Linked DNA regions of Arabidopsis thaliana. The protein of the gene in region 2 interacts with the protein of the main gene of each other region in a biochemical or structural test. Each region holds a gene or a part of one and is shown on either strand. Other genes may lie near its edges.

Region 1 (11,274 bases), on a different chromosome or scaffold from region 2:
CTAGATTCATCTTCTTTTTTCACATGGTAGATATTGAAACGTTGCAATGGATTCCCTCTCGTAATTGAAGTAGTCGGCATTTCACTTAAAGGACAAGCTCTGTATTTATGGAAAGGTCAAGTGGAAAGCTGGTCTGAAGGGGAAACAATTCTTGGTAACGCTAATCCTACTGTGCGACAACGTCTGCAGCCTAGCTTCAATGTCCTGAAACCTCATCTTAAAGAGTGTTTCATGGACATGGGTTCATTTCTTCAGGACCAAAAGATACGTGCTTCGCTTATAATTGACATATGGATGGAATTATATGGTAGAGGTAGTTCTAGTACTAACAAGTTCATGTTATACCTTAATGAGCTTGCTTCCCAGAATCTGCTTAAACTTGTTCATCTCGGGTACGTTGGTGTTGTTTTTTACAACATTTGTTTCATTGCACCTTCTTGCCATCTACCATTTGATCATGAACTTATTTGTTTTACTTACTACCAGGACAAATAAGCGCGAAGACGGTTTTTACAATGAGTTGTTAGTCACTCAACATAATATTCTGAGGGAGTTGGCTATTTTTCAAAGTGAATTGGAACCAATCATGCAAAGAAAGAAACTAAATTTGGAGATACGAGAGGACAACTTTCCGGACGAGTGTTTAAATCAACCTATTAATGCTCGACTTTTGTCTATCTATACGGGTAATTCTTTAAGATCCTCTTCTTCTTTTTCCCCTGAAAATCATGCATAGAAATATGACCACCTTTTTTTTTTGTTACAGATGATTTGTTCTCATCGAAATGGTTGGAAATGGATTGCCCCAATGTTGAGGCTTTAGTTCTTAATATCTCCTCATTAGACTATGCATTGCCAAGCTTCATTGCTGAAATGAAGAAGCTAAAGGTTCTGACAATCGCAAATCACGGTTTTTATCCAGCAAGATTGAGTAATTTCTCGTGTCTCAGCTCATTACCAAACCTGAAACGGATTAGATTTGAAAAGGTTTCAGTCACTTTGCTGGACATTCCTCAATTGCAACTCGGCAGTCTCAAGAAGCTATCATTTTTCATGTGTAGTTTCGGTGAGGTTTTCTACGACACAGAAGATATAGATGTCTCTAAAGCTCTATCGAATTTACAAGAGATTGACATAGACTACTGCTATGATCTTGATGAGTTACCATATTGGATCCCCGAAGTTGTTTCATTGAAGACACTTAGCATCACAAACTGTAACAAGCTCTCTCAACTTCCAGAAGCTATAGGGAACTTGAGTAGACTAGAAGTGTTGAGGATGTGTTCTTGTATGAATCTCTCTGAGCTGCCTGAAGCAACTGAGAGACTCAGCAACTTGCGGTCTCTGGATATTTCTCATTGCTTAGGATTGAGAAAGTTGCCTCAAGAGATTGGCAAACTACAGAAACTGGAGAATATCTCGATGAGGAAGTGTTCGGGATGCGAGTTGCCGGATTCAGTGAGGTATCTAGAGAATCTGGAGGTCAAATGCGATGAAGTAACTGGATTGTTGTGGGAAAGGTTGATGCCAGAAATGAGAAATTTGAGAGTTCACACGGAGGAAACAGAGCATAACCTGAAGTTGCTTCTAACGTTTTAAGTTTTGAGTGAAAAAAAAAACATTTTCGTAGCTTGTGTATTCTTATTGACTCTTTAATGATCACAATCTAGACTAAACGAGTAATAATATTACAAGAGTCAACATGCTATGTCTCGGGTTTGATACTAGTTTATTGCTCTGTAATGAAATTACTAACCACGCTGTATCATTGTATGTACTAGTGATTTTAAATTATGAGCTTTTCAAATACGCATGTTATATTGGGCCGTAGAAACATAAAGGCTTAATTTGAATAAGCCGCTTTGAAAAAGGCCCAATCTAAGAAAGGCATACTCTCGCACGTACGAGGAGAGCACGTTCCGTCTATCGAACAACGTGTGGTTAACGTAAAAGACCAAACGCAAACGCAGTCGTTTTCCTTGGTCATTGCGCGGCAAGGGACCGAGTCTGAGAAGTCAAAGGCGACAGCTTTGCTATGCAATTCGTCTCCTTCGTCTATCTACATTTTTATGAACCACACATTGATATTTCAGTGATCCCCTTTTTCGATTTTCAGCGATTCTACAAACAAGTTTTTTTTTTTTTTTTGGATTCTGGGTTTTGTCTGAGAAGTGAAAGAATGAACGATTGGGCTAGTTTGGGAATAGGTTCTATTGGGGAAGCTGTGTTTTCCAAGCTCCTGAAAGTTGTGATTGATGAAGCAAAAAAGTTCAAAGCTTTCAAACCCTTGTCCAAGGATCTCGTATCAACAATGGAGATATTGTTTCCGTTAACTCAAAAGATTGATTCGATGCAAAAAGAGCTTGACTTTGGTGTAAAGGAACTAAAGGAACTTAGGGATACGATCGAAAGAGCTGATGTAGCTGTTCGGAAGTTTCCAAGAGTCAAGTGGTACGAGAAATCTAAATATACTAGAAAAATTGAGAGAATCAATAAGGATATGCTTAAGTTCTGTCAGATTGATCTTCAGCTTCTTCAGCATAGGAATCAGTTGACGTTGTTGGGTTTGACGGGAAACCTTGTGAATTCGGTTGATGGTTTAAGTAAAAGAATGGACCTTTTGAGTGTTCCTGCGCCTGTTTTTAGGGATCTTTGTTCGGTTCCCAAGCTTGATAAGGTTATTGTTGGATTGGATTGGCCATTGGGGGAGTTAAAGAAGAGACTCCTTGACGATTCTGTGGTTACTCTTGTGGTTTCTGCTCCTCCTGGTTGCGGGAAAACCACGCTGGTTAGTCGGCTTTGTGACGATCCAGATATCAAAGGTATGTATTGTTGATCCACATTAAGTCTTAAAGTTTCAATTTTTACTCGTGAATAGTTGAGCTGGTTTCTCATGTAGTTTCCTTTGGCAGGGAAGTTCAAGCATATCTTCTTTAATGTTGTGTCAAATACTCCTAACTTTAGGGTAATAGTACAGAATTTACTCCAGCACAACGGTTACAATGCACTTACATTTGAGAATGATTCTCAAGCAGAAGTTGGCTTAAGAAAACTGCTGGAGGAACTTAAAGAAAATGGTCCTATATTGTTGGTGTTGGATGATGTGTGGCGGGGAGCGGATTCTTTCCTTCAGAAATTTCAAATTAAGTTACCAAATTATAAGATTTTGGTGACTTCTCGGTTTGACTTTCCGAGTTTTGATTCCAATTATCGTTTGAAACCTTTGGAAGATGATGATGCTAGAGCCCTTCTCATTCATTGGGCATCGCGACCTTGTAACACGTCTCCTGATGAGTACGAAGATCTCCTCCAGAAGGTTGTTGTTTCATTCATCTAGATGAACCTCTATACATTTGTGATCTACGAAATCTGTAACTATATCAATAGATTCATCTTTTTCTTTTTTCACATGGTGAGTATTGCAGATATTGAAACGTTGCAATGGATTCCCAATCGTAATTGAAGTAGTGGGTGTTTCACTCAAAGGACGATCTCTAAATACATGGAAAGGTCAGGTGGAAAGCTGGTCTGAAGGGGAAAAAATTCTTGGTAAGCCTTATCCAACTGTGCTAGAATGTTTGCAGCCTAGTTTTGATGCTCTGGATCCCAACCTTAAGGAGTGCTTTTTGGACATGGGCTCATTTCTTGAGGACCAAAAGATACGTGCTTCGGTAATAATTGATATGTGGGTGGAATTATACGGTAAAGGTAGTAGTATCTTGTATATGTACCTTGAAGACCTTGCCTCCCAGAATCTACTTAAACTTGTTCCTCTCGGGTATGTTATTTATGTTTCAAATCTATATCTTTGCACCTTCTTGCCATCTACCATTAGTGGAACTTATTTATTTCTTTATCAGCACAAATGAGCACGAAGACGGTTTCTACAATGACTTCTTAGTGACTCAACATGATATCCTTAGGGAGTTGGCTATCTGTCAAAGCGAATTTAAGGAAAACTTAGAAAGAAAAAGACTAAATCTGGAGATACTAGAGAATACATTTCCAGACTGGTGTTTGAATACTATTAATGCCTCTTTATTGTCTATCTCTACGGGTAATTCTTTGGGGTCTTCTTTTTCTGAAAATTAAACTTAATGATTATACAAATCTCTGCTGTTTCTAGAAATATGACTTCTCTATAACTATGATTGGTCTCTCTTTTTCTTACAGATGATTTGTTCTCATCGAAATGGTTGGAAATGGATTGCCCCAATGTTGAGGCTTTAGTTCTAAATCTCTCTTCATCAGACTATGCATTGCCAAGCTTCATCTCTGGAATGAAGAAGCTGAAGGTTCTGACAATCACAAATCACGGTTTTTATCCAGCAAGATTGAGTAATTTCTCGTGTCTCAGCTCATTACCAAACCTGAAACGGATTAGATTGGAAAAAGTTTCAATCACTTTGCTAGACATTCCCCAACTGCAACTCAGCAGTCTTAAGAAGCTGTCTTTGGTCATGTGTAGTTTCGGTGAGGTTTTCTACGACACAGAAGATATAGTTGTCTCTAATGCTCTATCGAAATTACAAGAGATTGACATAGACTACTGCTATGATCTTGATGAGTTACCGTATTGGATCTCTGAAATTGTTTCATTGAAGACACTTAGCATCACAAACTGTAACAAGCTCTCTCAACTTCCAGAAGCTATAGGCAACTTGAGTAGACTAGAAGTGTTGAGGCTGTGTTCTTCTATGAATCTCTCTGAGCTGCCTGAAGCGACTGAGGGACTCAGCAACTTGCGGTTTCTGGATATTTCTCATTGCTTAGGATTGAGAAAGTTGCCTCAAGAGATTGGCAAACTGCAGAATCTGAAAAAGATCTCGATGAGAAAGTGTTCGGGATGCGAGTTGCCGGAGTCAGTGACGAATCTAGAGAATCTGGAGGTCAAATGCGATGAAGAAACTGGATTGTTGTGGGAAAGGCTGAAGCCAAAAATGAGAAATTTGAGAGTTCAGGAGGAGGAAATAGAGCATAACCTGAACTTGCTTCAAATGTTTTAAGTGAAAGAACGTTATCGTAGTAGCTTCTGTGGATCTTGTAATGTTTGTTATTCATTATTTTCGTTGTTATATACATTATAATGGCTACTGAGTCCAAGTACAGAGAAAATGTCATGCCAAAGAATTTTGTGTAGGTCAATCTTTTAAAACCATTTAAGAGTACTACTAAATCCTTGATCCTTATCTAACTTGAATAGATTTGAACAGAGTTATTCACCAACATTTTTGACAAACTATAAATGTAATATTCAACATTCTTAATGTTAAAAATATAATGTTGGTAAATTCTTTGAAAATCCTAAAATGTGAAGTCAAGTCTCCTTTTTCCTTTGCTAGCTAAACTTCTGTTCTGGGATTCAAACAATGGTTTGTTTGAAACTTCAAAGTACCGCGTGACTTTTCCGTTATAAATTTGATCTAATGGCTTTTATGAAGAGTCACGTTTTTTATAATCAAAGAAAGAGTCGGTCAATAGATTAAAATTTCTCTCAAATTGCTTGGTTTTCATCTTAATTCATAATTCTCCTCTCCCTTCATAGGAACCATTATGAATTCGAATTCGATTCAAAGCTTTGATGCCTTGCCCCACAATCTTCGAGAGTGTTTCTTGGACATGGCCTCATTTCTTGAAGACCAAAGGATAATAGCTTCCACTATAATTGACTTATGGTCTGCATCATACGGTAAAGAGGGTATGAATAACCTCCAAGATCTTGCCTCTCGCAATCTCCTTAAACTTCTTCCTATTGGGTATGTTACTTTCCATTCATCTACCAATTCTTAACCCTAAAGCCTATAGAAAACGGTTTCACCATATTTTTCCCAACTTTCCTTTATTTATTTGCTTTAATATAGGAGAAATGAGTATGAAGATGGTTTCTACAATGAGTTATTGGTTAAACAAGACAACGTCCTTAGAGAATTTGCTATAAATCAATGCCTAAAAGAGTCGTCTTCGATTTTCGAAAGGAAAAGATTAAACTTGGAGATACAAGATAACAAATTCCCAAACTGGTGTTTAAATCCAAAACAACCTATTGTTATTAATGCATCTCTCTTTTCTATCTCTACTGGTAATATAATTATTTCTTTGCTCTGTTTCATACACCCTTTAATCATATTTACTTCATATGATTGATCTTCTTCTTTTTTGTTTACAGATGATTCATTTGCATCAAGTTGGTTTGAAATGGATTGTCCAAATGTTGAAGCTTTAGTTCTTAATATCTCTTCATCAAACTATGCATTACCAAACTTCATTGCTACTATGAAGGAATTGAAGGTTGTGATTATCATAAATCACGGTCTTGAGCCTGCAAAGTTGACTAACTTGTCTTGTCTCAGCTCGTTACCAAACCTGAAACGGATCAGATTCGAGAAAGTTTCAATCAGTTTGCTTGACATTCCCAAACTTGGTCTCAAGAGTCTTGAGAAGTTGTCCTTATGGTTTTGTCACGTTGTTGATGCTCTCAACGAATTAGAAGATGTTTCTGAAACTTTACAAAGTCTACAGGAAATCGAGATTGACTATTGCTACAATCTTGATGAATTACCATATTGGATCTCTCAAGTTGTTTCATTGAAGAAGCTTAGTGTCACAAATTGTAACAAGCTTTGCAGAGTCATAGAAGCTATAGGTGACTTAAGGGACCTTGAAACGCTGAGACTGAGTTCTTGTGCTAGTCTCTTAGAGCTACCTGAAACGATTGACAGACTCGACAATTTGCGGTTTCTTGATGTTTCTGGTGGCTTCCAACTGAAAAACCTGCCTCTAGAAATTGGAAAGCTCAAGAAGCTTGAGAAGATTTCGATGAAAGATTGTTATCGATGCGAGTTACCGGATTCTGTGAAGAATCTAGAGAATCTGGAAGTGAAATGCGACGAAGATACTGCGTTCTTGTGGAAAATATTGAAACCAGAAATGAAGAATCTGACGATCACAGAGGAAAAAACAGAACATAACCTCAACTTGCTTCAACTGTTTTAACTGTTAATTTGCTTTTGTGTGACATTGGAATATATATATAATATACACAGATGATATTTTACATTACATATATGATATATGTGTGCATGAAGAAAACAAGAAACAAACAGAGACAATACAAAAATTGGTAGAATTTGAAACCAGAGGATCAGAACACTACTGGTCTTAGAACAGATAGAGAAGTGTTTTGGTTGTTAAAAAAGGCTTTTTATTAGAGAGCGTAAACTATCTCTCCGCTACTGTCAATGTCGATTTCAGATTCAGAGTCAAAGTCATCCATGTCATCGTCAAGATCAAGATTGTCAGTCATGAAATCGTCTAGGCAACGGTTTCGAACAGCGGGAATTGTGGCTTCAGAGATGATTTGCATGATTGTGTCAAGGCTTTGCATTGGTTGTTCAGGCTCCTGGAACTGGCTTCCTGTGTTGCTCTCGTTCATTAGATCAGCAGGGAGATTCTTCAAGAACCAACTATGGGTTTTGATCTCTGGTATGCTTATTCTCTGTAACAAACAACATCAAACATCAGTCATCTCGCCGATGGTTTAAAGATTAGAGATGAGGAAAGGGAATGACTTACGGTAGCGGGATCAGCCACGAAGATTCTTGAAATAAGATGACAGCATTCAGGTGATATCCGTATGTCATCAGGGATTGAGTATTTAACGCTAAGGATTCTCTGTGTTTCAGAATCATTAAGAGAATAAGAGGAACATCAAGAGATGAACAAAAGGAACAACGTTTTAAGCGGTTACCTGTATTGTTTTCCGATAGTCTCTTGGCTCTTCTGGATCTTCGAACGGATACGCTCCAACCAACATGACGTATAAGGTCACACCACATGACCATACATCTGCAATCTGGTAACCGTAACACTCAATGATTGGCTATTCATCCTTAGAAATACAGAGATTACAGAGGAATTCTCTAAAAGCCTTTACCTTGCCATCATATTCCTGACGAAGCAGTACCTCTGGAGCGATGTATGCAGGAGTACCAACAGTTGACTTTGGTTGTGAATGAAGAACAGAAGACTGTCAAAAAGAAATGCATAAGCAAACACTTTAAAAACACATTTGAACATGACAATGGAGGAACCACAAGTGTATAGTTTCTGATACCAAAAGAACAAAATCATTTGTGATACCTTTGAATATCCAAAATCACAAATTTTTAATCGAGGAGCAGGACTTCCATCCAACAATGTATTCTCTAGCTTCAGGTCACGATGGCAAATTTGCTTCACAGCACATGAAAAAAAGTAGAGTATTAACAACAAGTTAGAAAAAAACAAGAATACAACCAGTCCATAGGCTCCATGAAACAGATTCTCTACATACCATCGAATGACAATAACTGACTCCAGATAGAAGCTGCTGAAAGAAGAACCGAGCCTGTTTACAAGAAGAGATCAAACCATAAGGAAACCGGAGACCTGTAAACCCGATAAGAGAACCAAATACAAACCTCATCTTCACTAAACCGTCCTGCATTGCAAATCCGCTCGTAAAGTTCACCGCCAGAAGCATATTCCATTATGATAGCCAGATGAGTCGGCGTCAAAATGACCTATCCTCAAGTACAAGAAACAGAGTTTAAAAGAGTCACTGGCTTAACAAATTCCAAAAAGACAAGTACTGAAGAAAAGTGTATAAATTTTACCTCTTTAAATCTGACAATATTAGGATGCCTTAGTGACCTGTGGTTAATGATCTCCCTTTGAACATTTTCATCAATCTGCAACTCCCATAGTTACAAGTCATTCACAACTGTCCTAATCTACAAAAGCAGAACACTCAAAACCAACTAAAAAAATCATTTCAATATCCAAAATTTCACATAAATCACAAATTAAAATCATCATTCAAGTGTTAGGAAGCTCACATCTTTAAAATCACATTAAAAGCACTCAAAAGCATAATCATCAAAATCTAAAAACGCTAACTTTAAGTACGAAACCAATAAATCTGGAAAGTGAAAGCTAAACCAAACACTAAAAATGAACGATCACTGGACTAAATAAATATCATCAACTTCCAAAAATAGAAAAAGATGAGATTTTTAAAAATGAAACCTTGTCTCCTCTCTCGATGTACTTGACAGCAACAAGCTCTTTAGTGAGTTTATCTCTCATAAGACGAGCAACACCGAAATTACCAGAACCAATATCCTTAACGAAGTCATATCGATCACTGTCGTGCATAATCGGCATATCCAACGGTCCTGTGGTCACCGGAGCTCGATCCATTTCTGATCACAAAAAGAGAAATTCGAATCTAATACCCAGCAGAGAATATGTTGTTGTTGTTGTTGTTAAGTCGCTGGAATCTAGGAAGAAGAAGAAGATTCGAGAAAATAAATGGAAAAATATCTTCAAGAAGAGAACGAATAAGGAAAGAGAGGAAGAAAAAAGGCAATAATTGGTTGCCCCAAGAGATAAGGATTGTCCCAAAACGACAACGTTCAGTTGCTTTGATACGACAAGAGCCGCCGCGTTTTGATGATTGATGTTGCTTCCTAAGAAACTATAACCCAAAAATATTAAAATTAACATGAAATAAAAAAAGAAAAAGCACGACTTCACTCGTCCTTGTCTCCTAAAATACAAACCTTTTTTCTCTAAATTCTCTGTATTTATCCGTTTCGATTTTTTTCTATTTTTCTTCGTTTTTCTCATTTTGAGAATTCGTATCAAACAAATAAATATTTGTGTTAAAAATAAGTAAAAGAAGAAGATATATTCGTTATAAATAACAAGATATTCTAATTAAAAAAAATAGTTTGGAGGAAACAGAAAAACTTAGTTCATAAGGAAAACAGAAGCTTGAAAGTCACGTGCTGCAGAAGCGGCCATGTGATGAAAGAATATTCGGTTGCGTTATTCCGTTACTTGACGGCGTTAGAAATAGACACTGATGACATTGACACTGACGTGGCAACTTCTAAGCATTTTTTAATTTAGTTGATGGGCCTGCCTCTAATTTTTACATAGAAAAGTCCTTTAGGCCAGCCCAATCCCACCATGGATGACATGGACAGTGACGTGACAACTTCTAAGCATTTTTCAATTTAATTGATGGGCCTGGCTCTAATTTTGTTAAAGAAAATGCCTAAAGATATAAGCAAAAGGCCAGCCCAATTACAATATTGATGATTAATTGGATGAATAGCATTTTATCATATTTGCATGAAATATATAGTCAAATCTTAGGTCATTGATTTTGTCGGTCCATATATATATAGAGACACACTTAAATTAGAATCTACTAAGGACTGTTGTATTAAATTGGATGTTGGATTGACCTAGTTAGAAATCTTTATATGGATTTATTGCGACACGAGACATTGATAAGAGTACCGAGGAAGGTACACTAGTGTGACTAGTGTTAGAGATAGCGAGGTGTATGTATAATTTTACTCTTAAGTTAATGAAAAGGAGTGAATGGTGTTTATGGGTAAGTGCGCAATTAATGGGTCAGTGCTTAATTTAATGGCCGATGCTCATCAATTTCACCACCTTCTCTTTATTGCTATACTAAGCATCCTACTGGTGAGATTAATATACTATTATATGCACATGCACATGAACATTAAGTATCCATGTTTCTCATGAATCATTCAGATCAAATATCTAAGCCACACTCACATTGATTTAGCTACTGATTGTTATGATCATCATGGTATGGACAAATGTGTTAAAGTGAATGAAAGTCTAATAATTTAGATTGGTGTGAGTATGTTAACTTAAATGTTACATCTGTTTTTCAGCCGGTTTTGATTCATGCGAATTCGTGAGGATTAAACACATCATGTAATATTGGGAGAGTCTTGAGGGATGGTTTATAAAGATAAAACGGTGATGATATAGAAGAGAGAGCCAAAAATAAATTAGTGAGTGGTCAAAGATTGTTAATAAATGAACCAACACAATCTTAATTGCCAAGCATTCACACTTAACTACTTCTTTAGCTTCATCTAGCTACTTGATGATTATTATATGCGTTTCCTTGTTTATATGTGAAGCACACACTCTCTTTTAAAAAATGATGTAGCCTTTTTGTAATTTGTTTTTCCTTAGCCTTTTTGGTATCATTATGATAATGTTTTCATAAACTAAACTCTTTTTGTTTCTTATTTCGCATTTTAAACTTTAGGTATATATAACAGGATCGATACTTTTCCAGAAACAAAAAAAAATGTAAATGCGGATATACAAAGATAGATTATTCATACTTTTTAATTTAATATTTCCGGTTGACGTCGGATATGTGATAAACCACTA
Region 2 (10,455 bases):
CGAAGCTTGACCTGTCCATAAGCTCCTTCAAACACGCCGGAGCCACCGGTGATAGCAAGAAACGTGTCCTCGTAAGTGAGATAAGGTCCTTGAACTGATATGTGACCATAATCTCCGAAGTAGAAACTGTAAGAAGCTTCAAAGCGATCACCTTTCTTCTCTGGAACATGTTGGATCAAAACGCAGAGACCTGCGGTGATTCCTATGCGTTTTGTGAGATCTCCTGTGTAGAGTTTGTTTGTGAAGGGGACAAGATCTCCGAGACAAAGCTGATCTGGTTTTTTCCCTAGTTTTAAAACCGCTGGACTGTTTCGATCACCTTCGTTGAACTCGTAGACGTTAAGCTCTTGGATCTTAGCTGAGATTTTTCACAAAATAAAAATCAGTTTTTGTGAAATGGGTACTTGATTTTGAGCTTAAAGGTTGATTCTTTTTTTGTTCTTATACCTAATTTGATGCTAATTTTCTCAAATCATGAAATGGGTACTTAGTTGTGAGCATAAAGGTTAACTTTTTACTTACTTGGTCTGGAGTAGTCATTGCTACTGCTGCTGCAAATGGTTCTGAAGAAACCTCCAGTGGAGGAAGTGGTGGATCTTGCTCGTGTGGAGAGACCTGGACTGTTAGATGAGATCCTTTGGTTATGGAAGGATCTAGAGAAACCGAGAAAAGTGCTTTGGTGAGATTGATGATTGCGAGAGAGGTTCCTTAGAGTTATCATAGAGATCGATGCAGCAGCAGAAGAAGCCATGATCATAGACTTGCCTGAGTTAGTTTAATTGTAATAAACACTTACTCAAAGAGAAACTGATTTTTGCGTTATTAGTTGAACTGTTGAAGTGTTGTGAAGAGACTAGATCTACGTTTTAATGGATACTTTATGTACTATGCATTTTTATCGTGATGATGAATGATGAGGAGCCATGTGCGTAAATATGGGAAAGTGGGTCTCTAGCTTCATCTAAAATAACTAAGAATTAAACACAAAAAGACAGGGAAACAAAAAAAGTCGCAAATAATTGTTGTGAAATGGGAATTTGTGGAATAAAGAAAGACTTGAGGGAACATGTGGGAAAATTTCTAATAGCAAACTAATCTTGAGATCTTAAAAGATGGCACTAACACAAATTGTTAGACTATGGTCTCAAAGATAATGAATTTATACTATGGACCTTAAATGATCAGCAAATAAAAGGTGAAATGGAAATGATCAATGTGAATAGTTTTAGCATTTGGTAAGAATCTCTGAACCAGTTCTAGTAATCAGAATGGTATGCTCAAACTGAGCAGCGACGCCACCATCTGCTGTCAGAGTAGTCCAGTTGTCTGGCCATGTTACACATTCTGTGGTTCCAATCGTGAGAATCGGTTCTGCAACATAATGTATTCATCGGTTTTTTATTATATAGTAATCACCTAATCATAAGCAAATGAAAGCCATGACATGGAAGGGGAAAAAATGGCTAACCAATTGTGAATGTCTGTCCCTCAACCATTAGTCCAGGCTCATCATTTCCTGCAAATTGGATTAAAATTCCTCAACCGTAAGTCCAGGTTCATATGCATATGCAGCCAACTATTGTTTTTGATTGATGTTTCCTAACATAAGAACGATTTTGCTAAGGAAGAGATTACTTACGGTAATGATATATAAGAGGTTCGGAGTGGAATACTGGTCCAACACCATGCCCAACAAACCGCTCCACAACGTTGTAGCCGAACTTTTCCGCATGCTCACTGTTGGAAATTGAAAGCATTGAGATTGTTTGTTCTAGCAGTGTCCTCAAATAGTACATTTCTACACGGTTATATTGAAATCAAGAATAGTTTTGGTTGCAACCTGATTCTTTTCCCGATTTTCTTGAAGCTTGCTCCGTCTTTACAAACTGCAATACCTCTCTCCAAACATTCTTCCGTAACCTTACAGAACAAGAAACCGACAACAGTTAGCATATTAAAACAGAATTCATTTTTTTGTGAACTTGAAGACAAAACACAGTGAAGAGAAGAAGAAGAAGAAGAAGAAGAAGAAGAAGAAGAAGAAGAAGAAGAAGAAGAAGAAGAAGAAGAAGAAGAATACTACCTTCACAAGTCGTTTGAAACCTTCGTCAACTTCTCCACAGAAGAAAGTTCTCGACGTATCTCCATGGTAACCCTGTCGATGTTTCAAGTTGTATGTAGAAATCAAACAAAGTGAAAGTGTCTGCAAATTAACAAAAGAAGCGCAAATGACTTACATCCAAGTAAACCGTGACATCGATGTTGATTATATCCCCGCTCTGCATTAAGACTTAATAGTTAGTGATAAACAAATGAACTCCTTCAAAGCTATTCAGCTTAAAGCAGTAAAAAGCACACATGAGGACCTGTAGCTGGCGAGAATCTGGTATTCCGTGACACATACACTCATTAACTGAAGTACACACACTTTTAGGAAATCCACCATATCCAAGAGGTGAAGGATAAGCACCAGCTTCAATAATCATATCATGCACAGCTTTATCGATTTCATTAGTCGTAACAGATGGCTGCAGAACCATATAAACAACAACTCAGACCACATATCCATAACATAGGAAAACAAAAGATCCACAAGGAAACTAAAATCTTACCTTAACCAAAGTTCCAGCATAGTTTAAAACCCGAGCAGCAAGCTCGCAAGCAGCTCTCATTTTCGCAATGCCTTCAGGACCAGGAATCTGGAACTCACTTGATATATCCGGTAATACACCAGACTCAACATAAGGAGGCCTTGGAATGTGATCAGGTACAAGAAGACGAGGCGATACTCTTCCACGTCTTAATGGTGGATTTCTCCTAACTTTTGATTTAGTTTCAAGCTCTCTCATTCTATAAAATGTAAACCAAATTAATGTACTATTAGCTCTATGACCAAAAGATGAATTCTTTTTTCAAGATTGCATTTTTATGATACAAGAGAGTTAAACAAAGTTAATTACTTTCTGATTCTAATGGCTTCCTCTAACCCAGAAACTTTCTTGGCAGAAACATGGAACTGTCTCGGAGAATATGAGTTCTTCTTACCTACAGATATGAGAGAAGATAAACTTCATACACCAAAGTTCTTCAATTATACAACATTCAAAATCGGAACAACGGAGAAAGTTTCAAAATTTCCAATCAGATGACCAATAATTTCGATATCTTCCAATGAAAAACGAAGCAATAATTGAATAACGAACAGAGCAAACGAAGAAACAGTGACAAGTAAAAATGACAAACCGGAGAGTGATAAAGAAGAGGAAGTGACCGGAGCTCCGAGAAAGCATCTCGACGGAGCTAAGTACTCGCCGTGAAAGGAAGAGCAGAGTTGCAAAGAAGACGATGACGAGAAACTGGATAGAAAAACCGAAGACGCCATTTTCGCAAACTTCACTGCTAAAACCCAAAATATCAAAATTTGCAGTGAAGAGAAAAAAAAAATGGTTCTTGATATTTTAATTAACAAACTAATGGACTTTAAAGCCCATTGGGCTTGTATATGATCGATCAAGTATAGGCTACTTTAGGCCATATGGGGTTTATGAAGATATGATTTGCTTGAAGTTTTGAATTATGACAAGATTATCTAAAAGATATTTGACGACATTTTTATGGTTCTTGTAACTAAAAGAAATTATAGCTATTAAATTAGTAACTTTATGATTAACTTGTGTTTTTCTAAATTATGATCGTGCTTTTTCAAAATTTTCCTATCTTATAGAATTTGTTAGATTGAGAATTAGTCGTTGATAAATGTATATCTAAATGGATCCACAAAAATCAAACAACAATAACGATTATGATGGTGGATTTTTTCTAGTACATTTATTTATTTTCTTTCTTTCTAGTCTTTGGTATCAACAAGTCTAATAATTTTCACTAAAGCTACTGCTGTGTTACTATTTGAACACAACTTGAATTATGTGTGGATGTGTGTTATAGACAAAAGTATACGTAAAATTGCGTGGGCATTTTTAATTGTATAATAGGATTTTATGCTATAATGGAATAATGTTATAGTCCACCGAATTGTATCGAAAGAAAGTGCATATGAACGGAACATTCATTAGATCAATGGTCAATATATTCCTTTATGTAGGTACATAGTAATGTATGCGGCAGGTGTACTATTATCATCATATGTTCAAACTCTAACGCATATACTATATACCATTTCGTAAGAGATTAACAGAGTTTTAATGTTATTCGTTTTAACCATCAAATTCCTTCGAAATAAATAGCTATATATACCTAAGTTTGTAGAGAATCTGAAGATACTCATAGTCGCAGCCAGCGAAAGAAAGAAAACTAAAACACTTTTAGAAACAAATATCTAGATTGAGTTAAGCCGAAAAAGTAGTAGATAGAATTATAAATACATATATATTATTTAACAGCAACATGAATCTCTCTACCAACACAATAATTTCTGAAGCTTAAAATAATATCTTGCAAAAGCTTAAATAGCATTCATTTTAAAATATCTTTCTCTTTGGTTATTTGTATCGGAGTATGGTCTATCATATCATCATACGATTATATACGTTTACAGACCCTGCAAACTTTTTCTCTTTTGGTTGGAGTTATTTTATAAAATTACGTACGCATAAGTCATAACTCCTCAAATCTATATACAAAAAGCAGCAAATACCATAAGCAGTAGCTAATGCATACATATAAATACGAGTTCCCATACACATAAAATGAAAAGAAACCAAGGTAAGATTTGGTAACAACATTTTCATCATCTCATGCTAATAAAACTCTTGAGACATATCTAAGTAACCCTTTTTAAAATTTATCCTATAAATAAAATTTACAGTTCATCAATACAACAAAAACAACTCATGAACCTTTGGTAAACAAGAAGAAAGAAACCGATGCAAATAAAGAAAACGAAAATGGAGTTTTTAAAAATTATTAAAACAACAAAAGAAAAAAAAAAGAAGAAGAGTTGTTACGAGGCGTGAAAGATGCGTTGCTTCTTGCTACACACCAACGATAACATCTCAGTATCGTTCACTCTTTTGTTTCCTACGACGTCGTTTCTTGAACTCTCCGGTGAAATGTTAACTCCGAACAATCTCAAAACCCGACCCGCATCTAAATCTGACCCGGATCTCGACTTCCACCCAATGTACAACTGTTGATCCTGACCGTTAGATCTACTGAAACTAACCACGTCACCAGCACGTAGATTCTTCTCCTTAACGAACCTGCTCCAACCTTTAGTCAAAACATAACTCTGACTACTGTTCCAATACGAGTAACGGAACCTCCACACTTTCCCGTTAACGTCCTCAAAGTTCAACAACACTCCTTTCACGGAAACGTTACTTGACGGTAACGGAAAATGTTTCTCTGCGTGATGTTTCGGTATAACCAAACGGTTTAGCTTCCCAACGTCGCTTGGCGTTACCGCTTTCTCAAACAGTGCCTCCGCCGATCTAAACCCCGTCGTAGAAACACCATCATTACTCAACCCCGACGTTAACAACGTCCTAGTCATGTTTCCGTTACCATTACGACGCCGTTTACTCTGCTCTAACTCTTCGTTATAAGTATGTTTCCTCAACATATCAACGATCTCAGATTTCGAATGAGAATTCAAGAAATCGACCTCGTCTTCGTCCATCTTCACGTCTTTGAAATTTGTGACGGCGTCACGGCGACGGAACCTGTGAACCGCGACGTCGTAGGCACGAGCGGCTTCGTCTTCTTCGTTGAATGTCCCGAGCCACACGCGCTGGTGTTTCTCGTAAATCTGAGCTCCCCATCTTCCGTTTGGTTGTGGCACCACACCTTTGTATTTTGACGACGGAAGCTTCCTAGATTCAGCTTCTACGCCGTTCTCTGAATCTAACACAACGCTTGATCCGCTTCCCATCCTGTATAAGTTACCTACCGACGACTTTTTCGCCGGAGTTATCGCCGGGGTTTCACAGATGGAACCTGTACTTGTAGTACTCTCATCAACGCTACTCGATTCCATTTAATCTGTGTTTTTTTTTATGGTTTGAAACAATGGAGAAAACAGAAATGTGTTTGTGTTGTGTTGTGAATTATGTTGTGTATATGTATACGTGTGTGTGTATAATATATATAGAAAGAAGGAGAAAGAGCTTGGGGGGAGGGAAATAAGAAACAGCAAGTGTCACTTCTGATATTATTATTTTATGTTTCACTTTTTATTTGGTAATAACAAAAAATATATTTGTAAGAATGCGTGTTTGAGGGGAGTAATTATAGTATATGTGCAGGTGCATGGGAAGTAAGATGGGTGTGTATGGGTCAACTCAAAGAACACAAAGGAAGCTTCGTGGAAACATAATGAAATATACGGCATTTAATTTAGGTTACTATATTAGGGTCTATTTCATGAACTGTTGATGTAACTTATAGAAGAAAACACACGAAGCAATAATAATCCTTATAATAAGTTAGTATTTTATTTATGTAAGAAAAAGAGAAAAGAGAGTATAGGAACAAATATAGAAATGAATATGTTGTGGGCTGTGTGCATGGGGAAGTGGGACCCATGTGTGGGCCATGGAATGGATAAAGGGTCCACGTGAGATATTGACATCATTTTAGTGAAGTTCATCCCCCCTGAGTTTTGATGCTTAAAATTTTAATTCACTATAATACTATAGTAACGATAATAACTATATGAAAAATAATAAAATAGAAAGTATTAGATTTGATAACCATGTTCAGATCCTACCGATGTTAAATGGTGTCTCTCTTTAAATTTTTTTCTCTTCCAAATCTGATTGTTATTCTTCACTCTTGAATGATATTATTATTGAAAAAGCTATAAATAGTTGTTTAGTCATGAACTCATGATATATATCTTCTTTATTTTCCATTTCCAGGTTTTTATTCTTCTTTCTATAATCTTATCCTACGTTTCTTTTTATAGAAAAAATGTGTATTGCTATGAGGATTATTGTCCGTATAATATATGCACTCGATAGATTCCAATTCCAAATTCATAAAAAATCTCTCTTTTGTTGTTCTTGTAATTATCCCATTTTATTATATATATATATATATATTTGGTATCAACATTTTATTATATTTGTTTCTCATAAGTGGGTGTATGTAATGTAAAAAGATTTTAAATATGTCTTATATATTTATAAGAAATACTTAGCCAACGAGCGACCGACATCATAACAAGTATTTCTACTGGTCAATAGAAATCCAATTAAATCAGTTGCCTTCAGTGTGTGTGTTTTACTCTTATAGAGAATAAATACGTAAGGATTTAACGCCATAAATTGTTTGCATTATATAATATGGTTTGAGGACAATTAACAAGTGATGTGGATAGCTTACGATCTTATCTGATATATTTGTTGCTTTGCAAAAGTATTCTTCTACCCATTAGTTAGGTTTCATTTTTTATGCAAAGAGCCAATTAGAGAACTGCGAAATATCGTGAGATTCGACTTTTATTGGCTCTCCCTGCTCCAATAGAAAATGTTAACGATTTATATCTCCTTTTTATATCTATTAATTGATTTGCCGGTTTCTATTTGAATTCTTGTAATTATTTATTATAGTATTTATTATCAATTTGATCCACTAGGATGGGAAGTGGGCCAATGACAAATCACTAAGAGGCATGGTCGTACGTGTCTTGTGTGGATGAATAATAATATGGGCATTTCTTGACAGCAGGACAATTACTTTTGTCTTTTTTCGTTTTTTTCTTTTTAAGTTAAAGAGGCATTGCTCAAAATACCTAGGCGCTAATTAGTGTTAGGATTTTTTTGTTTCTTAAGTTTTACCACACATTTTCATCAAAATATATATAAGTAAATTGGCATTTAAGCCCATATGAAAGAAATAAGTGCTGATCAACTTTAATTGATTTTGTTAAAATCAGTGTGGTAGAAAGTAGTGACTGTGTAGATTTATAGACAACACAATAATTAGATAATCACACTCTAATCAAATTTTCAAATTTAAAATCGTATTTTTATGTTTTAAAAAAACTTAAAATGGTTCTAAGTATATCATATATGGGTGGGTATGCGACAAAAAGAAATAGATGGTTGTATTTTCCTTAGAAGAAATTGAGTATGTTGTCACGTGGCACTTGTTGCTAACTCAGCTTTCTTTTCTCATGGAATTTGTCTCCGTAAGAGAGATTGGGCTCATCCATGTTTCTTTTATGATTCTAAGTATTTGAGCTCCAAATTGAAAAATTGGTTTTGTAAGTGATACATTATTGAAGTTGTGTAACCTCTGCTTACAAAAGAGAGACATTTTCACCAGTACACTTTCATTGTTTTATACTTTTGATTTGATCATATCAGAATTAGTTAGTTTCTTCTATACGTTTTGTAAATTTTGTTTGGAATTTATATCATTGCATATTTTTATAGATATTACAAAGATAGTGAAAGTTGTTTTGTTATATGATAAAAGAGTAACAGAACTTTTTATCATATTTTTACTCCTTTATAAGAAAACTACAATTATATACTGTATGTTTTTAGAAAAAAGAGGTAGAAGACCTTTTTTTTTTTTGAGCAAAGGAGGTAGAAGACCTTAGAATGTGATTTATAGAGAAACAAAATAGATAAGAGTGCTAAAGGAAAAAGTATCTGATTTATGATGCTAATTTTTTTTTTTTTGAAACATCCAACATAGGTATAAATAGATATTATTAGTACGGACGAGTTGTTATTGGTCCGCAGGTGGACCTCATTTTTCCTCAACTTGGTCCTTTAGCTTATTTAGCTTGTCAATTCGTTGATATATTTAATTATTTTCTTGTCGGTAAATAATTTCCATCAGTACCTATTTTGTCAACGTATAACACACGATATATCGGAAAAAACGATTTTGGTTTCTTTTCTTTTTTCAATTTTTTTTGTTAAAGTTTTTTCTTTTCTCAACCAGAAAACTCGACTTGTCTAATTGAATTATAATGCGTTGGGATATTTTTTTATTTCATATATAGCTTTCACATTGAATGTGTTGAAGTAACTTTTTCATGGTTTCGTCTTTCTTAATTTTAAAAATACACACACTGAAGAAAAAATATACAGACACGACAATTAAAAAAGTTATTTTATATATTTATATTAGTTTTTAATAATGTAAATAACTTTTATATTATTTTATAGCGACTCTAAAGATGATGATGTAAATAATTTACAACGGTTTATTATTAACATAACTATAATATTTATATCAATTATTGTAAGAATTAGGTTTGAAATAGTTTATGCTACCACGAATGCAATCAACTATAACATTTTTCTCCCCCTTTATGTTTATGAGCTTTCATGAATTAACATATAAAAATAAGTAATATTAAATATATATTTGATAAACGATACTAACTGGTAGGTAATACTGTAACTCTTCTTTAAGAATAATTTTCTCCATCTTTTTAAATTTTTTAATTTTCTCCATCTTGCTCATGTATTTCAAACATAATTATTTATTCGGATTCCTACCTGTATCCAACTCAACGATTCCATTTCTTGTGCTGGCTCAAATTATTTTATTTTATCTTGCTTGGGTATTCAATATTCATCTAACTCAGAAAACAAGACAAGAGTCCTGATTTAGTATTACATGGAGCCTCGAGAAAAACGTGTTTTTATAAATGGTTTAATTTTGATATTGGGTACTCTGCATGCTATCTTAAACAGTATATATTTGCATATGTTCAATAATCTCATCAATATACCCACTATAACTCATGAATATACTACCAATTATACTCATAAAAGAATATGAGTCTTTGAGCTGGAAATTTCACATTAACCCTGTGACACCGATAATATAAATTAAAACTATAGAATATACAAAACGCTTTATAAGTAGTTCTTTTTCAAATCAAATTACAATAGAAGATGGCTGATAATCGTCAAAGTATAGGTTTCTTCCTCTTCGGATGCAATAAACTGATGATGTCCAGAAGATTAGGCGGGGAATATATTATTTTGTAGATTCTGTTATTATTCTATATACTGTATGCGACCAAAGATAGAAAACGTAGTCTAAACGAATATCTATCAGCGAGAATGAAGAAGATATTAAAATCTGAATTGATTTGGAAAAATTGCTGATGGATCTGCTTACATCATTGACTTTCCGCAATTGGATCAGCTGTTGATGGTTTTTATATGGACTATAAATGCTGATGGTTTAGTCGTTAGTTACTTACCTATTTATTAATCACGTAAGAGAAATGACGGCATATAAAATGAACATAATTGTAAAGTTAAACTAATTGTTTTGATTATGCTTTAAGTTCTTAATAGACTTTTTCATTTGCGCACACTTATATTTTAAATGATTTCTGTAATTATCTAAAATAATTAAAAGCTATAGTTTATTAAATATTTACATAAAAATACATTATCACTCGATCGAAAATGTAGTTGATTACTTTATAAATAGATTCATTGTCCTATCATGAAT
Region 3 (11,241 bases), on a different chromosome or scaffold from region 2:
TCAAAAACACGATCAAAGATGCAAATAACGAGAAGAAGCTAGAAGAAGAAGCATACTCGAATCTTGATTCCTCCATGGGAGATGCTGAAATCTGACAATTGCTTTAGATTCATCCAACGACGAGAAACCAATTCCATTGATATGACATTAACACTAACTGGGCTTTACTTAGATTTTGTTTATGGGCCTTGCCCTTTGTTCGAACGAAGCAAATATGTTTACGTTTTTTTTCCTCTCTCACGTTAAAATCAATAACAAACTTTATTACATACTACAGTACAACTTCTATAAATTAATACCCGTTAAATTAATAATTTCTATAAATTAATTAATTATTCCAGTCTCGAATTAAGATCAATATAAAAATTGATATAACTCGATAAATTAATAAGATTCTAATTTTTTTTTAAAAATCTTATATAAATATATGGTCCCATCAATAATATAAATTAATAATAATATAAATTTACCAATATATATTATAAATATCATATATAAAATATGACATTGTTTTTCTTCAATTTTTATTAATTTTTTTGTATGTTCAATTCTAATATTTTACAACATCAAAAAAAATTGTATTGTTTTTAAACTTAATAATTGATTTGTACTTGTAATTTGTTTCATAAATATTATTGATTATAAGAAAAAAAAACTTCATTTTATATCAAATTTTTGTAAGAATTTACAAAATTTGTACAATTTTAATTAATTTATCGATAACTTAATACTTCTCTAAATTAATAAATTTTTTTGGTCCCAATATTATTAATTTATAGAGGTTTTACTGTAGTTGGTTAATTTCATGGAAACATGTATAGAGAAATAAAATAGTAACATAAAAAAATCTTGCTACTGCATCCGCCATATCTGGATCTCTAACTGTAGCTGAAGAGAGGCCAAAGCAAATACGTAAAACTCTGCTAAATTTCTTATAAAATATTTGGAACGAAGCAAATAATATTTAATTATTACAATGATATTGAGCTAACTATATATTAACTTGCGGTATACCGCAGGTAGGCTTATATTTTAGTTAAACTAAAAAATTTTATTGTAAAGATGAATTATAAATAGATAATATTATTTTATTTGATTTTAAATGTATAGTAAACTGCGAGTTGTATATGTTTTGTTGATATTATTTATATTGTTTAGTGTTTAAGATTATACACTTGTATTTTAATTGTTAATTTTAGAGTTTCACCTGTAGTATACCATCTTGTATTAATATCGATCTAAACCCGTCAATTCTAGAATTTTCCTGCTTGTATTAAAAATTGAATCACATCATACACATAAAAAAATCTAATATGTTATTAATTATTATTGTATATAAGATTATAACTTTCAAAATAATATGTATGAAATTGAATATAAATATTCAAATGATGACCCGTTACTCAGTATAAAGTTTTCTTAAATCTATTTTTGACTGTTATAATATTTTTTTATGTATTGAACAGTTTATATTTGTTTTTAAAAATTCAAATTATGGCATATGCGAAAAAAACTCTAATTATTTTTTATAACGATGATATTATTTTTTGCAAAATTAGAATCATATAAAGATGAGAGGTAAACTATAATAATTAATAAAAAAATTAATATGATAATTTAGATATCAAATCTAATTTGTTTATTTTAATTGGTTACTTTTTTGGAAAATAATAATGTATTTCGTTTTTCTAATTAAATTAAATTAATTAAAATTTAGATATCAAATCTTATATGTTGATTTTGATTGGTTACTTTTTTGGAAGCTAATATATATATTTTTTGTTTTTGGATAATCATGAATTCAGTTTTATCTAGATTTTGTTTTTCAAAAATATTAACTAACCTGAATATTTTTTGGTACTATATAAGTAAAATTGCGTGGTAGGAAATTTTGACCTAAATCTGTGTTGATCAATTTTAGGTTCTTTCTCAAAACGCATTTTACAAGTAGGGAATAGAATTTGAAGAAGCATTGTGTTTAGGTTAAAAACTGAATCTCTCTATTCATCTTCCTTTTTTATTTTCATATAAATACCGATTTGATTTCATTTTATATCCATTCTTTATCTCTATTAATATATAGGGTTTAGAAATCAGGTGATATTCGCTTGATTAGATTCATCTTCTTATTATGCATTGAGGTTTGTGTTTTCATCTTCACACCTTCTCTAACATATTTGAGTGCAGTACAACGCAATCCACGATTTTGATTGGCTATTCTGATTACTATATTATTTAGAAACCTTAATCTCTTTACTGTTTAGAATTCACATAAAAATTCGTAGGTTGTGATTTTTTTTTTTCAGTTCGTGTATAGACCTAGGCATACGATTTTCCCTTTTGTTTTTGTTTTTTTCATGTTTCGGATTTTCGTGTTTAAGAAAAAGATTCTGTAAATATGTTTGTTTGATTCAGTTTAAAAGGAAAAAATTACATCATGTATTTCGATATATCCTATATTTAAATGTATTTTGTATATATTCTAGAAATGATCAAAAATGTACAATTACATTTTCTTTCTTTCTTTCACAGATTATGATGTTTCATCAAATGGACAAAATATCGACACCATGCGCGGCATGCAAGCACCTGAGGAGAAAATGCACAGAAGATTGTGTGTTTGCGCCTTACTTCCCCTCGACTAAACTGGACAACTACGAAGCGGTTCACAAGGTATTTGGAGCAAGCCATGTGGCTACACTTATCAACAGTCTTCACCCATGCCAAAGAGAATTTGCCATGGACACGCTCGCTTGGGAGGCACAAGTTCAAGCCAATGATCCGGTCAATGGCTGTCTGGGTATCATTTACAACCTCCTTAGTCAGATTAAAGACTTGGAAGAACAACTCGCGATCGTCAAGAACGAACTTGCCTCTTACTGTATCGTCCCCACATTTGTGCCACCACCTTCGATGACGAATCTGGAAATGCATAACAATCCTATGATGATACCGGAACACACACCTAATAACGGTGGTTGTTTAACGGGTCAACAGTTGTATAACGAGGCTCAACGTTTTGCATCCACACAAAGCGCTCAAATGCAAGAGACGCAGATGCAGCACGATGAGGAGAGTTACCGTGACAAAAGTTCTTATCAAAAATTTGGACCATGCTTTAACCTACATTAATCATTATCATATTGAATCTTGATAACAATGGTAAGCTTTTAAAATCTTTTTAAGTCTTGTCTAGTCGTTTGTATAACTACATTAAGATATAAATACAATTATTGTTTTTAGTTAACAAAACATCCGTTATCGTCCAGCGGTTAGGATATCTGGCTTTCACCCAGGAGACCCGGGTTCGATTCCCGGTAACGGAGCTTTTTTTGGTTTTTAAGATTCGAAAAAGTACTTTTTGCCTCATCACTATCTTTACGTTAATAAACTCAGCGGCAGTTCAAGCCGTAAACCTTAACATTTCTAATCAGGATCCTTAGTCAATTTGATTATTTCTTTTACAAATACTCCAACATTCAACAAGGACCTTGTGTAGAACTACACTCTGCCATAACAAAATAATAAAGGTGCACTTGTAGTTATGTACAAACGACTAGACAAGAGTTATAAAATTAGAAAAAGGTTAATGTAACATTGCTGTGTACGTGAAAACGTCTTATATGATCTATAAGAAGCTTTTTTTTGTTCGTGACAAAAACAATTTCTGACTTGGCTCAAAATACGACCACAATCACCCACATAAAGTTGGGATATTTTGGAAGTAAACAAGTACAAGTGAAGGTAAAACAATACATATATACATGAGACATTCACATAATTAATTTAAGAAAGACATAACAATTTACTCACCTCACAATTCGTACTCATTCAATTACAAATTTTAGGAGCAACCAAATTGTGTTGATAATATAGAACAGTAAAATTAATATTGATACCTAAAAAAACCAAAAAAAAAAATATTTGAAAAAAAAAAAAAAAAAATCACCAAAACGCGGCGGCCTTTGTCGTATCAAATCAGATAACTAAAACAAAGAAAACGGTGTCGTTGCAAACATCTCTCTCCTCTTATCTAACTTAGAGAGCGACCAATAATTGCCTTTGTCTTTCTCATTCGTCGTTGATCCATCTTTTTCCCCCAAATTCATATCCTTCCTTAGATATTTTTCTCCTTCTTCTTCTTCTAGATTCCAGCTACTCCAGAAGATTCTTCGACTTAATCTGATGTGATTAGGAAGAGCAATAGAGGAAGAGAAGAATCAGAAAAAATGGATCCGGCGACTAATTCACCGATTATGCCGATTGATTTACCGATTATGCACGACAGTGATCGTTACGACTTCGTTAAAGATATTGGCTCTGGTAATTTCGGCGTTGCTCGTCTCATGACCGATAGAGTCACCAAGGAGCTTGTTGCTGTTAAATACATCGAGAGAGGAGAAAAGGTTTCGTCTTTTTTTTTTTGAATGAAAAAAAGATTTGATATTTATAGGCTTTAGTGATTGATTGATGATCGATTATTTTTAGTTTCCAGATTTAGTAGCTTTCCTTTTTAGAGCTTGTTGATCTAGTGTCTTTAATGGTGGTTACTTACTGTTACTATGATTAAATGCTTTTGAAAAGTTTTGATATTTCTCAATAAATGATGATACTTTTTTTTATGGTTGTTTTGCAGATTGATGAAAATGTTCAGAGGGAGATTATCAATCATAGATCATTGAGACATCCTAATATTGTTAGGTTTAAAGAGGTATAATATAATACACCTTGATGTTTCTTCTGTGTGTGTTTGTGTATTAAGTCAGTGTGGTTTAGAGTTTGTTTTGTGTGTGTTTTTGTAATGGTTTAGGTGATTTTGACGCCTTCCCATTTGGCTATTGTTATGGAATATGCTGCTGGTGGAGAACTTTATGAGCGGATTTGTAATGCCGGACGGTTTAGTGAAGATGAGGTTTGGATTCTGATTTATCGTACTGTGTTGTGGTATTGATGTGTGACTACTGATCTTTAAGTTTTTTTATGTATAGGCTCGGTTCTTCTTTCAGCAGCTTATATCTGGAGTTAGCTATTGTCATGCAATGGTACGCAGAGCAGTGTTCTTGCAACTTACTTGAACTTTTCTCGTTCTCGTGTATACCACTCTGGTTTTAATTCTGTGTTTGATTTTCCTGTGAAGCAAATATGCCATCGGGATCTGAAGCTGGAAAATACATTGTTAGATGGAAGTCCGGCACCTCGTTTGAAAATATGTGATTTTGGTTATTCCAAGGTACTATTTATTTCTCTCAAGGTTTGTTTTCTGAATTCTAAGTTTATATATGCTACTGTATGGCCAAGCGCAGAACAGCGGGGGACATCTTGTGATTCCTCGTTGTGCTTCTTATCGTTCATGCTCTTTACCTACATGTGTTTCCTACTAAGTGTCTGTTTTCGCTTTGATTTCTGCTCAAGTATTAACTATGCGTTTCTTTTCTTCAGTCTTCTGTTCTTCATTCCCAACCAAAGTCAACTGTTGGTACTCCTGCATACATTGCACCAGAGATTCTTCTTCGACAGGAATATGATGGCAAGGTAAGGCCATGAGACCAATTCCTCTGTCTAGAGTTCAAACCAGCTTATCCATATGACTGTTTATACCACAAATATTCTTTGAGTTGTCCTCTGAAATAGCTGGTGTTACATTTTTCCAGCTTGCAGATGTATGGTCTTGCGGTGTAACATTATATGTAATGTTGGTTGGAGCTTATCCATTCGAGGATCCACAGGAGCCACGAGATTATCGAAAGACAATACAAGTAATGTTTTTCAATTGTTCTTGCTGTCTCATTCATCATCATTCACAAACTCATTATCTTTCAAACGTTGATTGTATATGTTTGCTTCTCCACTGATTTTAAAACGCAGAGAATCCTTAGTGTCACATACTCGATCCCAGAGGACTTACACCTCTCACCAGAATGTCGCCATCTAATATCGAGGATCTTCGTGGCTGATCCGGCAACAGTAAGTTTTACATTTCAAAGAAAACTTTGTTCTTTGAGTTCTAAATAGACAAACTGAGAGATCCAATGTGGCAGAGAATCACTATTCCGGAGATCACATCCGATAAATGGTTCTTGAAGAATCTACCAGGTGATTTGATGGATGAGAACCGAATGGGAAGTCAGTTTCAAGAGCCTGAGCAGCCAATGCAGAGCCTTGACACGATTATGCAGATAATATCGGAGGCTACGATTCCGACTGTTCGTAATCGTTGCCTCGATGATTTCATGGCGGATAATCTTGATCTAGACGATGACATGGATGACTTTGATTCCGAATCTGAGATTGATGTTGACAGTAGTGGAGAGATAGTTTATGCTCTCTGAGATTCCTGAGGACAAAGTCTGTTTTGTCCGTACTGTTGAGACACACCACTGGAGTTTTGTCTTAGCTCCACGCACTCCATCGTTCATTTTTGGATCGTTTGTTGTTTTTTACTCTACAAGCTTTGGATTCACATACATATATATGTATTGTAATGTAATATGTAATATATTCTATGTATTTCTCTTTGTTTAATAACTATTGGCACATTTTATACAAATGATATGGTACTAGAAAAAGAAATGTAACTAACCCACAAGGTTCTGAGATGGAGCTTAGCTTGAGTCTTGGTTAAGAATGTTATGATCTATGTTTCACACGACACACGATTTCATGTATAGTGTTATTCGACATCGTGATGGAGGACATGGCTTATGATCATCAGCTTTGATCATGCCGCTAGACATTTGATTAAGATTTGCAATTAGTAAAACTTAAACTGTCTATATTGATGAAAAGATTTAGCATTTTATGATACCATAATGTAGATTTGTGTGTGGATGAAAAATTTGTATAAATATTTTCTACCCTAGATTATGTAAAAGACATGTTTTCTGTGGAGAATGCTTGGTAATGCAATGTCTATTGACTATTGGCAACGACTATTGGCATTACGATAATTCATCAAGGAATCATTACTACTTCTCTCCAATTCATGATCAACTTTTGACACATGACAAAAATCTTCTTCTGTAAAAAAAAAGCTAAAGAGAAGATATTTATGTTACAAAAACTATGTTAATATGATTCGAAAAGTTAAAATAAGGAGAACAAAGAAATGTAACTAATAGTTAAACTTTTAGAGGATTTTTCTGATTTAAAATTAGAACATGTTAAATTTGCATAGGATAAGAATAACAATTTACCTTTTTCGTGCAGTAAGAAACATGTGAATACTATAATTTTCAATATTGACGGAAACAAATTTTCTGGTGTTGTGATTTTGGGACGTAAGTGGTTAATGGTTTGCGATGGAGCCGGAATTTGGTCATAGCATAATGTGTATAGTATATTTTCTATTGAAAATTTTGTGGATCAGAATATAATTTGGGTTTTATAGTTTTGATGTTTTGTTATGCATGAAACATTGCTATTTATAAATAGTTTTTCTATTATTTCTCACCATTATTATTATTTATTATAAGCCATAAAATGGAGATTTAATTCTACAATATGCCACAGTTAAGGTAAACCAATCTCATTTATTCTCTTCTTTTCAATGTCTTCATTACTTCTACTTATATTTTAAAAAGACATCATTTTCTTTGATTATGATACTATTTTATTGCTATTAGTCAACGTTAAAAGGCATTAATTTTGGTTTTGATTCTTCACAAGAATTCATTGTATGGTTTTCAATAGTTATTAATGTTAGCTTAAAGATAAGCAATTTAGTGTGGGATTTTAATAACCAAACGTTACAAAATTTAGTGTTTTGGGCTGATTTTTGTTTTAAATTCATTTCTTATATTTGGGGCTATTTTCTTTATTTCGTTAATTAATTTCATTAAGAGCAGTACTATTGCTATAAATAAAAGTTAATATTATATAAGTATTTAAAATGTAATGAAAATTTTGTGTGTTAATAACATGAATATAATTATTAATATAAGACAAAATCATATATCAAAAAAGTAATATAAAATAAGTATTATAATATATTATATCTTATATTAATATATGTTATATCAGATTTAATTCTACAATCTGGTTTGGTGATACGTTAACGTTATGAATACGTTAAGGTAAACCAATCTCATTTATTCTCTAGTTTTATATATTATGATTATATAAAAATAAAATTACTATTAAGGAGGACAAATCATTTGTGAATGTCAAATGTCGCAATAGTATGAAAAGTTAAATATAAGATATATACTTGTAATACCTCAAATACCAAAAATAAAAATTATTAATCCGAATATACTACATTTGTTTTAGTAATTCATATACATTTGGGTATATTTGGTTTTTTTTTTGCCGTTTTAGATTTATTATTTATTATAAATAATGAGAACTGTTACATAGACGATTCTACCACGGACAATTCCTTCCGACCCTTATTAGATCCAAGAGAGACGACACATTCTTCTTCTTTTCCATGCGCTTGATGGACACCTTCAATATCTTCTCTGCGTAGAATCTTGGCGAACAACTATAATTGTACATCGTTGTAGACCTCCTGCACACTTGTCTCCATTAATATGCAAATTTGCTAATAAATCGCAGTAGCTGGGACTCGAATCCTAGACCTTTTGGTATAGAAGCATTAATGAACCTTTGGTTAATCATTGGGCCAAGAGGGCTTTCATGGATATATTTGAGTTAAAAGTAATCCTTTGTACTCAAAATATCAAAGATTATTGTGAATTAATCAAAATAAGTTTGTGATAAATTACACATAAATTGAGAAATGTTATAAACAGAGAAAGAGATAGAAGAAATGAGTGTGTTATTCCATTGAGATAAAGGGTTCTTTATATAGGAGTACAAGGAAAGGGTAAAACCCTAGAAACATCTAGATGATGGGCTTAGATGATGGGCCTTATAATGGGCATCCATCTTTATTCATAACACTCTCCCTGATGACCATTATAGTATCATAACTCGTAAAGTATTTGAAATGCTGCCTCATTAAAAACCTTACCAAGAAAACCCAATGGGAAAAACCATGGTTAAGGGAAAAAGAGTGCAACATACAATTACTCCCCCTTATGAGTATATTCGTCGAGATCTTTGAGACGGCGTAATCCGATACGATAGACTAACTTCTTGAAAGTAGCAGTAGGTAGCGCCTTGGTGAATAAGTCAGCCAGATTATCATTCGAACGGATCTGTAGAACTCGTACATCGCCGCTCTTTTGTAGATCGTGTGTGTAGAAGAATTTTGGTAGGATGTGCTTTGTTCTATCGCCTTTGATGTATCCGTCTTTGAGTTGTGCGATGCATGCTGCATTGTCTTCGTACATAATTGTTGGAGTCTTTTTCCCTGCATATATACCACAGTCTTCTTGTATATGGTGAACTATGGATCTTAGCCATACACACTTGCGGCTAGCTTCATGAATTGGTAAAATCTCTGCATGATTAGAAGATGTGGCAGAGAATAAACAGTATTTGAGAATAAGTCTGCCAAATCTTCTCTTGAACAAATTTCTGGATAAAGTACAACGCCATTCTTCTGCTCATGAATCTTTTAGATGATTCATCTTGACCATCTTATTTATTTCTCTAAATATCATTAGTGTATAATATTCATTTGGATGATTGATAGAATTTTTTAATATTCATCAAGTGTATTATTTGCGTGTTCTTTAATGTCTCGTTAAAAACCTTGTCATAGAAAAATCATGTGGGATAAAAACTATGATAAGGAAAAAGGGTACATCCACGCATATCATTCAATCTCCCCCTTGGAAACATCTTCTTCATGAGATGATTTTCAATCAAATACAATATCTCGTTGGAATTAATAACCATAATCTTAATGATCAAAATTATATGGTTTTCATATAAATTTATAAATATCATTATCTAGTGATATTTTATCATACATTATTGTCATCGTATTACTTATGATAACTCTGTAGGAGTTTTAATGATTTTCAAAACAAATATTAGTTTGATCAATATATTTTGACAAACTCAACATAAATATTCATTTATATGATTATATGCCATGTTACATATTTTTTTTTTATTCGATCGAGTAGAGTTTTAGAGAACATAATTCTCATATAATTAATCCTTAAGAGATTATATCTTTCAAGAATTTCATATAAATGTCATATCCAGTGTTCCGTCTCTTATTGCCAGACTTTAGATACTTAAAAAAAAATATTACATCCACCACAAGAGAATATATCTCTTCATAATACATTTCTTATCTTTGTGAAAATCTCATTAATTTCACTATTCTTTCACATAAAGACTAATTTATTTTCCACTGGTTTTACACATCATGTGCATAGACTACTAGTCCAAATATCTCTACTAGAGGTTATAATTATATGTCTATTTCTTCTTTTCCATTTTTGGCTAATCATTACTTTGTGTACACTTTTCAATAGAGTTTCTTTCATGATCCTCCTTTTTGTCCGTAATATCAACTGCTCATAGCATGCAAATATATTACGACGTCGATTTGCTTTTGATTCCATTATATTTTGACATGACATAGCTAGCTAGATCTCTTCATTGTCAAGTACGTGAATGTTTTATTTGTCATGTTTATGTCTCTTTTAGAGATCATTCACTCTCTTCAAGAGATCATCAAAATATTTATTTCCTCAATTTGGTCATTTTTAATTTTGTGCTCTTTCACTTTTACGAGGATATTTATATTTGGAACCAAGGTCTATTACGCTTCATGCGATATTAAGACTCAATAGCAGTTTGAAATTGGTCTTTACAGGACATTCATTATATTCTGGAGCATTTAATTTACAACTGGTATAAGTGACTTCATCACTTTATTTGGGTCAGCAAATGCGTCTGGCAATTACAACGCTAAATTCTGTAATTGAATTATCTTTTGGACTCTTAATATACATTCTTTACTCCGAGGATCATTGATAATTCATTTCTATTTATCTTTTTCACCAGCTGTATACATTCTCCCCCTTATGTTGGAATAGCTGACTATATAATATGATAGTCTTCAAAACGAGCGGTATATAAATCCTTCTAGGATGGCTTAGTTATCATTCATATCCAACATGTATTCTTATCCTCCTTTGAGGGTTCATTTCTGCGTGCTGTGGTGGAGCACTTTTCACATTCAAAGCTTTTAGATGAAAACTATTTGGTTTCTGACCCAAAACCAATAATAATGGGGAAAACTATTAATTATTCATTGGCTTGATGCGTATCGATGTTACTAAACCATTTTGTGTATGAACATGAATTTCAAAA

What was found.
Region 1: of the proteins of RAV1 (region 2) and SNRK2.3, one has a biochemical effect on the other in vitro, tested with the Arabidopsis thaliana proteins (one study listed by BioGRID).
Region 3: of the proteins of RAV1 (region 2) and SNRK2.2, one has a biochemical effect on the other in vitro, tested with the Arabidopsis thaliana proteins (one study listed by BioGRID).

Annotation. Positions count from the first base shown.
Region 1 is NC_003076.8:26,708,663-26,719,936, reverse strand, and holds SNRK2.3 (sucrose nonfermenting 1(SNF1)-related protein kinase 2.3), read right to left. Parts: upstream 9,636-11,274; 5' UTR 9,603-9,635; intron 9,518-9,602; 5' UTR 9,241-9,517; coding exon 9,067-9,240; exon of another isoform or gene 8,730-9,066; coding exon 8,655-8,729; intron 8,562-8,654; coding exon 8,460-8,561; intron 8,387-8,459; coding exon 8,333-8,386; intron 8,233-8,332; coding exon 8,140-8,232; intron 8,027-8,139; coding exon 7,934-8,026; intron 7,853-7,933; coding exon 7,748-7,852; intron 7,672-7,747; coding exon 7,573-7,671; intron 7,496-7,572; coding exon 7,205-7,495; 3' UTR 6,994-7,204; downstream 1-6,993. Other genes in the region: AT5G66910 (Disease resistance protein (CC-NBS-LRR class) family), read left to right, coding at 31-392, 487-686, 767-1,599; AT5G66900 (Disease resistance protein (CC-NBS-LRR class) family), read left to right, coding at 2,036-2,822, 2,913-3,316, 3,426-3,778, 3,861-4,057, 4,174-5,006; AT5G66890 (Leucine-rich repeat (LRR) family protein), read left to right, coding at 5,554-5,756, 5,862-6,079, 6,167-6,993. UniProt on the Arabidopsis thaliana protein: Together with SRK2D, key component and activator of the abscisic acid (ABA) signaling pathway that regulates numerous ABA responses, such as seed germination, Pro accumulation, root growth inhibition, dormancy and seedling growth, and, to a lesser extent, stomatal closure.
Region 2 is NC_003070.9:4,537,926-4,548,380, reverse strand, and holds RAV1 (uncharacterized protein), read right to left. Parts: upstream 6,214-10,455; 5' UTR 5,996-6,213; coding exon 4,961-5,995; 3' UTR 4,411-4,960; downstream 1-4,410. Other genes in the region: AOC4 (allene oxide cyclase 4), read right to left, coding at 1-358, 523-757; MAP1C (methionine aminopeptidase 1B), read right to left, coding at 1,226-1,371, 1,469-1,516, 1,640-1,737, 1,841-1,920, 2,084-2,155, 2,238-2,279, 2,367-2,528, 2,613-2,850 and 2 more. UniProt on the Arabidopsis thaliana protein: Binds specifically to bipartite recognition sequences composed of two unrelated motifs, 5'-CAACA-3' and 5'-CACCTG-3'. May function as negative regulator of plant growth and development.
Region 3 is NC_003074.8:18,736,893-18,748,133, reverse strand, and holds SNRK2.2 (SNF1-related protein kinase 2.2), read left to right. Parts: upstream 1-3,976; 5' UTR 3,977-4,229; coding exon 4,230-4,406; intron 4,407-4,636; coding exon 4,637-4,711; intron 4,712-4,810; coding exon 4,811-4,912; intron 4,913-4,988; coding exon 4,989-5,042; intron 5,043-5,137; coding exon 5,138-5,251; intron 5,252-5,439; coding exon 5,440-5,532; intron 5,533-5,651; coding exon 5,652-5,756; intron 5,757-5,865; coding exon 5,866-5,964; intron 5,965-6,038; coding exon 6,039-6,329; 3' UTR 6,330-6,540; downstream 6,541-11,241. Other genes in the region: AT3G50520 (Phosphoglycerate mutase family protein), read right to left, coding at 57-76; LBD28 (LOB domain-containing protein 28), read left to right, coding at 2,536-3,132. UniProt on the Arabidopsis thaliana protein: Together with SRK2I, key component and activator of the abscisic acid (ABA) signaling pathway that regulates numerous ABA responses, such as seed germination, Pro accumulation, root growth inhibition, dormancy and seedling growth, and, to a lesser extent, stomatal closure.